2 linked regions of the Caenorhabditis elegans genome follow. The protein of the gene in region 2 interacts with the protein of the main gene of each other region in a pairwise test. Each region holds a gene or a part of one and is shown on either strand. Other genes may lie near its edges.

Region 1 (4,950 bases), on a different chromosome or scaffold from region 2:
AAAATTTTATAGAAAATTGGCAAATTTCCGGCAAATTGGCAAATTTTACCCCAGAAAATTGGTAAATTGGGCAAGTTTTTGGAATCGCCAAAATTTTGGAAACTGTCAAATTTTAATGTATATTTTCAATTTTTTCTGCAATATTTTTTTTTTTTGGAAAACCTCCAAACTTTCAGTAAATTGCCCAAATTTTGGTATTTTTCCAAACTTTTTTTTCAAAAATTATTTTTTTTTGCAAATTTCCCAATTTCTCTACCATTTTGCCCCAGTAAATCTCTGAATCGATTCCTTAAATGCAACGTCTGTAGTCTTGTAAAAGCGGATCCAATTCGAAGATCCAATTCACTTCGACAATCAACTGCGGCAACGGTCTTCTCGTCGAGTCGGATGAGATTCCGAGCTGCTCGTGTGATGGCTGCTTTTGTGATTTCGGAGAATCTATAATAAAATTTGGGAATTTTATATTTTGCGCGTCAAATATGTTGTGTAGTACGCATTCTCAGAGTTTTGTGTTACCTCGCTCTGAAAATATCCAGCCGCCGGTTGCTATCTCTGCAAACTTTAACAATTTCAGCGCCAATTGCTTCACCTTCTCGATCGCAATCTGTCCAGACTACCAGGATATCGTGTCGTTGGGCTTGTTCTCTGAAAAGTTCCAAAAATTTCTATAAAGAACCTATATGCTTGCCTGCCTACACGCCTACATCATGCCCATCTACATCGATACCTTAAGCTTACTATTCGTTTGCCAGAACGCCCACGGTATGCTTGCCTACCTCCGCGTCTACACGCCTACTCTATGCTTGCCTGCCTACGCACTTATCTCATACCTACCTACGCGCCTACTCAATGCTTGCCTACCTAGCCACCTACTTCATGTCTACCTACAAAAATACCTTAAGCTTCCTATACGTTCGCCTTTAAGCCCACCGTATGCTTGCCTGCCTACGCGCCTTCCTCATGCCTACCTACGCGCCTGCGCGCCTACTCAATGTTTGCCTGCCTAGATGCCTACCTACATGTATACCTTCAGGTATACCTTAAGCTTCCTATAAGTTTGCCTGCACGCCTACTATATGCTTGCCTGCCTAGACGCCTACATCATGCCTACCTACGCGCCTACACCATGCCTACCTACGCACCTACACGCCTACTCTATGCCTGCCTGCCTAGACGCCTATCTACATGTATAAATTTTCGCCTACACGCCTACTTCATGCCTACCTACGCACCTACACGCCTAATCTATGACTGCCTACGCGCCTACTCCACGCTTGCCTACACGCCTACTTCATGCCTACCTACGCGCCTACACGCCTACTCCACGCTTGCCTGCCTAGACGCCTACATCATGCCCACCTACATCAATACCTTAATCTTAGTATACGTTCGCCTATACGCCCACCGTATGCTTGCCTACCTACGCGCCTACTCGCCTACTCCACGCTTACCTGCCTACACGCCTACCTCCTGCCTACCTACGCGCCTTTTCGCCAACCTACAAGTAATAGATACATTTCTCATGCCTACCTACCTGCCTACAAGCTCACCTTATGGCTACCTACGCGCCTACGCGCCAACAAAAGACTGCCTACTTTATGCCTGCCTTCCCCCCCCCCCCCGTAAAATTTAACCTTAATGTCTGCTCGATGAGCTTCATCTCTGGTGTGACAACATGCCGAACCGGAGCTCGAAACAACTCGACCATCGACGCCGTTTGCCAATTCGACATATTCTCGTGAAATTGGAAATTCATCATATGTCCCGAAACACTTGTCACCGAAATTGCGGTTTGCTGCAAAAATAGGATTTTTCTTGCTTAGAAATACTCAAACTAGTCTCGAATTCCGTATAAATCACAAAAAAACCGAAAAAAAATAGCGAAAAATTGAAAAATCCAACTTTTTGAACCTGCGACCAATCAGCGCGATTCGCTCCGCCCACTTTCCAACCAATCAGATGGAGTGGGCGGGGTTTGGTGGATTTTTCTTTATATAAGACTATTTTTGGATATTTCAAACACCTCCTAACCCCGCCCACTACCCCTGATTGGTTGAAAAGTGGGCGGAGCGAATCGCTGATTGGTCGCGGTTTTTATTTTCCGAAAATTGATAAAAATAGTGATTTTTTTGCTTAGAAATACTCAAAATAGTCTTAAATTCCGTATAAATCACAAAAAAACCGAAAAAAATAGCGAAAAATTGAAAAATCCAACTTTTTGAACCTGCGACCAATCAGCGCGATTCGCTCCGCCCACTTTCCAACCAATCAGATGGAGTGGGCGGGGTTTGGTGGATTTTTCTTTATATAAGACTATTTTTGGATATTTCAAACACCTCCTAACCCCGCCCACTACCCCTGATTGGTTGAAAAGTGGGCGGAGCGAATCGCTGATTGGTCGCGGTTTTTATTTTCCGAAAATTGATAAAAATAGTGATTTTTTGCTTAGAAATACTCAAACTAGTCTCGAATTCCGTATAAATCACAAAAAAACCGAAAAAAAATAGCGAAAAATTTAAAAATCCAACTTTTTGAACCTGCGACCAATCAGCGCGATTCGCTCCGCCCACTTTCCAACCAATCAGATGGAGTGGGCGGGGTTTGGTGGATTTTTCTTTATATAAGACTATTTTTGGATATTTCAAACACCTCCTAACCCCGCCCACTACCCCTGATTGGTTGAAAAGTGGGCGGAGCGAATCGCTGATTGGTCGCGGTTTTTATTTTCCGAAAATTGATAAAAATAGTGATTTTTTGCTTAGAAATACTCAAACTAGTCTCGAATTCCGTATAAATCACAAAAAAACCGAAAAAAAATAGCGAAAAATTTAAAAATCCAACTTTTTGAACCTGCGACCAATCAGCGCGATTCGCTCCGCCCACTTTCCAACCAACCAGATGGAGTGGGCGGCGTTTGGTGAATTAAGACTATTATTTTGGGTATTTCAAACACCTCCTAACCCCGCCCACTTCACCTGATTGGTTGAAAAGTGGGCGGAGCAAATCGCTGATTGGTCGCAGTTCTTATTTACCGAAAATTGATTAAATAGTGATTTTTTGCGGATTTTAGACTATTTTGGGTATTTCAGAGCCAAATGACTGCTGGTACCTGTCCAAAAAGCTCGGTATTCAACGTGTAAATCTTGTTAAACTTGCTCCGCCCCTCTCGTCGATTCGCTGTTCCATTTGATAAAATCGCAGCGACTCCCTTTGCCACGTCATTCTTCTCGGCCACAAATAAGGCTCTTTTCATTGGGAATTTGAGCTTAAAATTATGTTTTTTTTTCAGTTTTAAAAAATGAGAGAGAGCGTTGAGAGCGTTCACAAAAAGTTAAAAAAATTTTTTTTTTTCAACATTTCAAAAAAAAAATTTTTTATTGAAAATTTGAGATTTTTTCCAAAAATGTTTTATTAAGTATTTCGACATTACAAAACACTTTCAGAAAAAAACTTTTTTTTTTCTGAAAGTATTAATTAATTTTTTAAAACGTTTTGTGCTCATTTGCAAATGATATTTTGTGTATTTCCCCTATTTGTAAAAATGCTCTTCCAAAAAAATTTAAAAAAATTTTTTTTTGAAAAATAATCAAAAAAATTTCAAAATTTTTTGAGAAAATTTAAAATATTTTTAATTTTGTTGGATTTGTTAATATGGTTATTTTTAGGTTTGGAAGTGGTTTAAATTTTAGGAAAAAAATTAACTTTTGAACAACAAAAAATATTAAAAAAAAAAACATTTCGAAAAAAATTCAAAAAAAAATTCCAATAAAAAAATTATTTTTTTTTAAAATTTCTAATGATTGTATAATAATTTCTTCAAAATTTGATTCGAAAAAAATCACAATTTTTTCTCCTAAAAAATTTCAAAAAAAAAATTTTTTTCCAAAAATCTTTTTAAAAAATCAAATAAATCTGGTGTAAAGACCTGAAACAAAAACTTGCAAAACATATAAAAATTATTTTTCATAAAAATTGAAATTTATTCACAATTGCGGTAAAAAAAGCAGAGAATTATCATTAAAAAATGACATTTGTATGAGGTGATTACGGTGAAATGATATTACATGTACGAGAGGGGTGGGGGTTTTCAGGGAAAAATGTGAACAATTCGAAAAAAAAAAATAGAATGTGATTACTTTTGCATGTCGGCTCAAGTAGGTCGATTGCACCATGTTTTTTCCAATATTTTTCTTCATTGGTTTAGTCGAAATTGCCTGAAAACACCGAATTTCAGAATGAAACTTCTTGGAAAATTCTCAAAAAAAAAAGTTATGGCGGCTCAAAAATGACTTAGTTGAAATTTGAAATTTGAGCGGCTGGAAACTAACTTTTTTGAAATCACCGTCTAATTTTGGGAAACATTTTGGAAATTTAACTTTAAATTTGGCAATTTACCAAATACTTGAAAGTTTTTCAAAAAAATTGGCAATTGAGCAAAAAAAAAACATTGACTGAAAAGTTATGCAATTTTCTAAAAATTGGTATATTTTCAATTGTTTTTGCCAATTTTTCAAAAAAAAAACATTGACTGAAAAATTGGGCATTTTATCAAAAAATTGGCATATTTTCAATTTTTGTGGCAATTTTTCAACAAAAAAAAACTGGCGATATTCCAAAAAATGTGGCAAATTACCACAAAATTTGGCTATTCACTTGATTCTTTGACTTGGAAATTTTCGAAATTTACCAAAACTTCTACTAAAAATTTTGCGAATTGATAACCATTTAAATGTACCTAAATCGAGTTGAAAACGCAAGATAATTAACTTGTATAGCCAAAATTAGACGGTGATTTTTCAAAAAAGTTAGTTTCCAAGACGGTCAAATTTCAAATTTTAACTAATTTAGGGTCATTTTTTGAACCGTCATAACTTTTTTTTTGAGAAGTTTTCAAAAAGTTTCACTATGAAATTCGTTGTTTTCAGACAGTTTCGAGTCTAATAACAAAGT
Region 2 (5,931 bases):
TGCAATAATTTTCTGACCAAAATTATTACTATCGATCAAAACTCAACGGGTATAATAAGAAACCGACGCTGAAGACTACTGATAATTGATTTTATTTCTGTTTTTGAAAGTTATCGCAACGACAAATTTCACACTATCAGATGGTTGGAGAAAACTCAAATTATTTTATTGCTTATCGCGGCAAATTTATACCTTTAGCAAACATCGAATGGAAATACCTACGCTAGTTTTTCCAAAGCTAATTCTGAAATTTCCGTTTTCAAAAACCTAACTAGATGAAGCTCGAGAACCGTTTAGAAGTAAGAATCGATACCAAACAAATTAGATCGTAATGCGGGTGATGAAGAGAATTATTTACTTTGCCGACTTTCGGTTTATTATAAGAACACTTCTCTTTACAGGCTGACACAAAATAACAGATTTGGGGACATAAAAACATGCAGGAAACGGGGATCTAGAATTCTGTGCTATATAAATAAGTACAAAAGATTCAGGAACACAAAGCAATGAAATTTAGATCTGAGCATCAATCAACTGAGCACCAAGGCCAGCATCGTCGAGAGCAGAATCGCAACGATCGATCTTGGAGAGTCCAGCTTCCTCAGAGATGATCTTGGTGCAGGATTTCGAGTCCGGAGAAGCAGTTTCGGAAGAGGTCCCGAGAGATTCAGTAGTAGCAGAAGAGTCGGCAGCATCACCTGCTCCCTTCTGGTCCTTCTGTTTGCGGTTTTTATTCTTACGCTGCTTTCTTTGCTTCTTTTTCTCCATTGCTACTGCCGGAGCCTCGACAAGCTTTTCAGTTTCCTTTGAATCAAAATCCTCTCCAACAACGATTTTCGGTTTACGATTCTTACGGAAGCGAGAGAGAAGCTGATGGCGATATCTAAAGTAACTAGTTTTCCAACTTTACTTGTCAATCAATAACTCACTTCGATCCAGAAACATTCACCCCGGCTGGTCCGGTGACATTTGCAGCCTCAGGTCCATTCTTACCATCGACCAGATCGAAGAGCACTTCCTCCTCATCGGCAAGTGTCCGAAGGTAAAATTTCTCAGTGTCCGATTTGGAAATAGCTGTTTGGTGAACGAAGACATCCTTCTCTCCATCACTACGGGAAATGAACCCATAGCGACGAAGTACAGAGTACCACTTCACCTTTCCTTGAAGTCCAGCGGTAAGAACAATCTTCGCCTTCTGCTCCTCCTCCCAAATGCGTATGCGCTCGGCAGCTGGCAGACGCTAAAAATCATAAAATTGTAAATGTTGTACATTAGCACGTCATGCATCATAAAGAAAACGAACTACTTCAAAACAGTCAATGGTAGTTCCCAAAGAAGTGAGTTTTAAAAAAACTTACATGCTTGCTTGTATCATCCTTGCTTGGCGATCTTTTCTTGCCGATGGAGAGATCGTCGAGTTTCTTTTCGATGACTTGCTCATCTACTTCGACAGCAGTATTCGCAGTGTCCGACATTTTCGCCGTAGTTGCTCTTAGCACTTGAGGTACTGAAAAACAAGACTACATTGAGTGACTGAAGCTTCAAGGGTCGACGGCGTGCAGAAGAAAAGAAAAAAGTCGAAAAATGACAGATTAAGTGATAAACGCTCGCGGGCCTGTGGTCCCGTACGACCGTAACCAGCGTACCTGCACATCAAACATTTGGCGGCGCTTCAAGGTTTTAAACGCATTTCTTACATTTTTTTGTTAACAAATTTGTTTTCTTATTCAATGTTACACACATTTTCATTATTTTTTGTTGGTATTTGCAGAGCGAACGCATATAAAAACTACAAAATATATGAAAGAAACTGAACTTGATCGTCTTTTCTCTTGGCTTGCTAGGAAACATTACCCATTCAAGAGAGAATGGCTAAGAATATGCGTCCAGTATATCGAAGGATCACTCGGACAAAGAATTAAAACTGTTGATGTGAAGCAGATTGGTGAACTTGTCATACAACAGTTTTTGAATTCAAAAATATCCGAAGCTTTGGATCCCACCATGAAAATCCCAACGAGCGCAGTAAAAGTTGTCATTGTTAAAAGAATGATTTTCCAGGTTATTAGTTTGAAGATCTGCCGAAAATCAACAGGAATATTTTTAGGTTATTTCCTCCACGAATATATCAACATCCTTGTACGAGCAATTGTCAGAATGTACTCGACACAACGAAGATTTGGCTTGGTTTCATGGCGGATCCAAAGCTGATCACGAAGAAGAAAATCGCGACAAAGAAAAAGATGTGGCCTCTGATCGCATGAATCATACGCAGACGAAAAATGCAATTAAGAAACGAGGAATGCTGAAAATTGAGCTCACCGATGGTGTGAATACTTTGAAAGCAATCGAGTTAGACGAAGTATTTGATGAAAAAATTATGCTACCCGGTGCAAAGATTATTCTCACAGGAAAAGTTAAATGTCGTCGTGGAAATCTTCTACTGGATAAATCTAATTGTGCTTTTCTGGGCGGCCGAGTGGAATCACTAAGTTTTGATAAAGTGGCACAATTATCAAATGCATTGAAGGTTGACTTAGACGCGGAGAAGAAACGAAGAAAGTAAGTTATCACTTAGATACATTAGAAATCAGACATCATCTTAGCTTGATTTAATTCTTCTAGTAAATTCAATTTTCAGAGCATCTCTGGAAAACGCTGCTGCTTCTGTATCACGAAATAACAAGAAACAAATAGACAAGAAAAATCTTTCCCTTAATCAATCATCGCTTTCTCCATTTTTAGTCAAAACAAGTCGAATAACGGGAGAGGTCACTGTAAGTATTTAATCTAGTTCCACTACACTTCTTTCAATGGCTTAAAAACAGTTCTGAAAATTACAGGTTCCGGTGAAACAGTCTTTGGTGCCTACTGCGTCACGTATTCTACCATCTTCCGTAGCAGTTATTCCCAGCATTCAAATAGAGAAACCAACAGATCCTATTGAAAATTGGGATTTTTCAATCGAAGAAGTTCCGCAAGAACCAACTCCAGAACCACCAAGTCATCATGTACGGGGCCTTGTTGAACATTATCCATTGCGTTCAAAACCACAAGATCCGCTCCCACCACCTCCAACGAAGCGTTTATCTTCATTAATAATTGATAAAAATTCGATTTCAAAAGTGTCCCAAAACATTTCAAATCAGGTCGAGAAAGGTCTACTGCAAAACAAGACGATCGAAGATTGGACTTTCAATTCGACAAATTCCTTTGACAAATCTAAAAAAGTTATGTCTATTGATAACTCTAAAGATCAAAAAATGAAAATCAAGGAACTTCCTGGACAACTAATACGACCGACTCCAATCGAAAAACCTATAATCGGTGATCCTAGAATGAACAGTGAGAAACGTAAGTTAAAACAGAATAAAATATAAAAACCTTTCAGCTATAATATGATCCTCTTAACAACAACTATACCACAAAAGTTTCAGTAAAAGTTTTCCAGGCAAAGATGTTTCCGTATGGGTTTGGGAAGATCGGAAAGGATCAGAAGAGGAAGACATTGCGGCGAAAAGGATCAAAAAGATAGATTCAGTTATGGAGATTCCATTATGTTTTGTGAAGGAAACAACTCGCCAAGCGAATCGAAGTAATGAAGAGAGTCGTCATAAATTAAATACATTTGCGCAAACAATTCATGGTCCTCGTAGCAAGATTGACGATTTTCGAGTCAAATCGAACAATGTTCCCGTTTTCAAACAAATTACAGATCACTTTATAACTGTGAAAAGTAATCCTAATTCATTCACATCTTCTACGCGTCATACACCACCTCAAATGCCGAAAGTAGTCGATTTTGGGAATTTTGAAGATTATGATGAAGATTATGAAGATGAAGTTCTGCCAACATCTTCGTTCCGAGATCAATTAAAACAAAGAAAAAGTCTAGATAATCATGGAGAAGATGTAGTCTTAGAAGAAGAAATGGATCATGTAGATCACGATGAATCTATAAGTGAGTTGTTTTTTAATTTATCGGAAAATTTAACTGATAATCTCGTGATATTCAAAAAAATATTTATATTCAGTTGAATGTACAATGGATCATGAGGGACGTTTGGAATGCGAACGATGGGGATTGCGTGGAAGGGAATCGAATATTATTGAGGATGATAAACGGAATGTTTACAATGGATATAATATGAATAATAATATAGAACGTGACAATAAATACGGTAAGCTATAACTGTCTTAATCAATCATCTGACATTTTGGAAAAATTTCAGATTCTTCAATGAATGGAATGCCCCAGCCAAATCTCCAGCATCCTCTGTCAATTCTTCCTCCTCCACCAGTCATTCCTCCTTCACAGAATTGGAATTATACAGGATACTACCAAGCTCCGCCACTTAGGAATGTAATAAAAAGCGAGACGGTGGATTCTGTTGTACCGGAGGACCAGAAAATGGTTGGAGCTCAGGGAAAGAAGAGACCAAATGTAAGACAAGAAAATGATAATATGAAAAACAAACAATCGGCGAATGTTCAAGTTTATAGGACACCTTTTGCTGAAAGGGTTTGTTTTTTTTTTCAGAAAAATCAAAATTATTTTCAAAAAAAGAGGTTTATTCTAGTTGAACAGTGGCGATTCATCTTCAAAATTGTCGCCCCAATTATTCCAACGAATGGCTGATCTGCAAATCGTACCATTCGGCGATGCACTATTTAATCGAAAATTCTGGATGATGTCAAAAATTGTAGTCATTATGGTAATAGCTGATATTCTGTACGAAGTAACAAAAATTCTAACATTTTCTCACATTTCAGCCAAGTATCTGCAGTCAAATACACGAGTTACAATCTGATGGCATCGATTGGCTACTACAGGTATATTGTCCAAATAATTCATTTCTAAATACTTTATTTTCCAGATACGAGTAACAGATACATCAGTAAAAAATGTTATCTGCCGCGTTTCCACGAGCCTTCTAAATCGAATTTTTGGATTTGATGTTCAACAGTGCAAGGTTACAAAATTAATGTGCTATTCGTAAACCTTTTTTTTTCAGAATTTATTCAACAAAAATCAAGTCGAGGAGCTACGTGCGAAGAAATGCGAAGCCGAACGTAAACTTCTTGGATTCAAACGTCTTGATCTTCTTTTATGGGTTGAGGTTTCACCAGAGCGTAACCAAATTCCGCTCATTCTTGACGTGAAAACGATTTCTGATGCTCTCAATATTTTGTAATTATTTCTATTGCTTGCTACCTGAATTCACGTGTACCACAATATAGTCATGTATTATTTAATTGTTCTTGTTTTTTTGTTGTTTCCAAATACAATACAACTGTTTTAAGCTTTTTCTTTCGTTAAAATTTCTTTAAAACAGAAATGTAACAAAAAACATAAATTTAAACAAACTGTATGGAAAACTGTACAGTTTTCGATACAACGAGAGTTTGAAACTACAGTACTCTTTAAAGGGTCATGCCATTTTCGAATTCATCAAAAGTTCGTCGGGTCGAGACATACATACTACAGTAAGAAATGTAATATTCTCATAAAGCTCAAAACAATGTATTTATAACCCAATCAACAGCATTTAGACCGGACTATATTTTTCCTATCGGGATCTCCCTTTGTTTTGAAACAGACGATTAAAACTCAAAAAACGCAAAGTAAAATTGAAATTCGTTCATTTTGTTAATGATCGAAATATTTAGGTTACATCAGTATAAAAGGTTTGCATAAGGCAATAAAAATAACGTTATTTTACATGAAATGTTAGAATAGAATTATATGTCTAGTTCATAGACATCTGGGACACGTCACCCAAGAGAGTCCGTTGCTGCACGGCCGATCCGATGTTAGTACTGCGCATCTTTGAGGCGAATTCGATGCTTCTCTTGGACTCTGTCGCTTGCTCGTTGCATGGATTGAGATTGACCACAACCATAGTCTTCGAGTTGCCACGTCCCAAGCAG

The links.
Region 1: the proteins of rmh-1 (region 2) and top-3A interact in a two-hybrid assay, tested with the Caenorhabditis elegans proteins (one study listed by BioGRID).

The regions. Positions count from the first base shown.
Region 1 is NC_003281.10:11,956,916-11,961,865, forward strand, and holds the start of top-3A (DNA topoisomerase 3), read right to left. Parts: upstream 3,266-4,950; 5' UTR 3,254-3,265; coding exon 3,110-3,253; intron 1,796-3,109; coding exon 1,635-1,795; intron 646-1,634; coding exon 517-645; intron 439-516; coding exon 257-438; intron 1-256. UniProt on the Caenorhabditis elegans protein: Component of the BTR double Holliday Junction dissolution complex, which is involved in homologous recombination during meiotic double strand break in the germline.
Region 2 is NC_003279.8:5,571,443-5,577,373, forward strand, and holds rmh-1 (RecQ-mediated genome instability protein 1 homolog), read left to right. Parts: upstream 1-1,771; 5' UTR 1,772-1,800; coding exon 1,801-2,061; intron 2,062-2,107; coding exon 2,108-2,562; intron 2,563-2,641; coding exon 2,642-2,777; intron 2,778-2,843; coding exon 2,844-3,354; intron 3,355-3,451; coding exon 3,452-3,961; intron 3,962-4,034; coding exon 4,035-4,181; intron 4,182-4,232; coding exon 4,233-4,522; intron 4,523-4,580; coding exon 4,581-4,715; intron 4,716-4,773; coding exon 4,774-4,833; intron 4,834-4,877; coding exon 4,878-4,973; intron 4,974-5,015; coding exon 5,016-5,195; 3' UTR 5,196-5,307; downstream 5,308-5,931. Other genes in the region: cey-3 (CSD domain-containing protein), read right to left, coding at 514-883, 930-1,240, 1,359-1,475; klp-15 (Kinesin motor domain-containing protein), read right to left, coding at 5,751-5,931.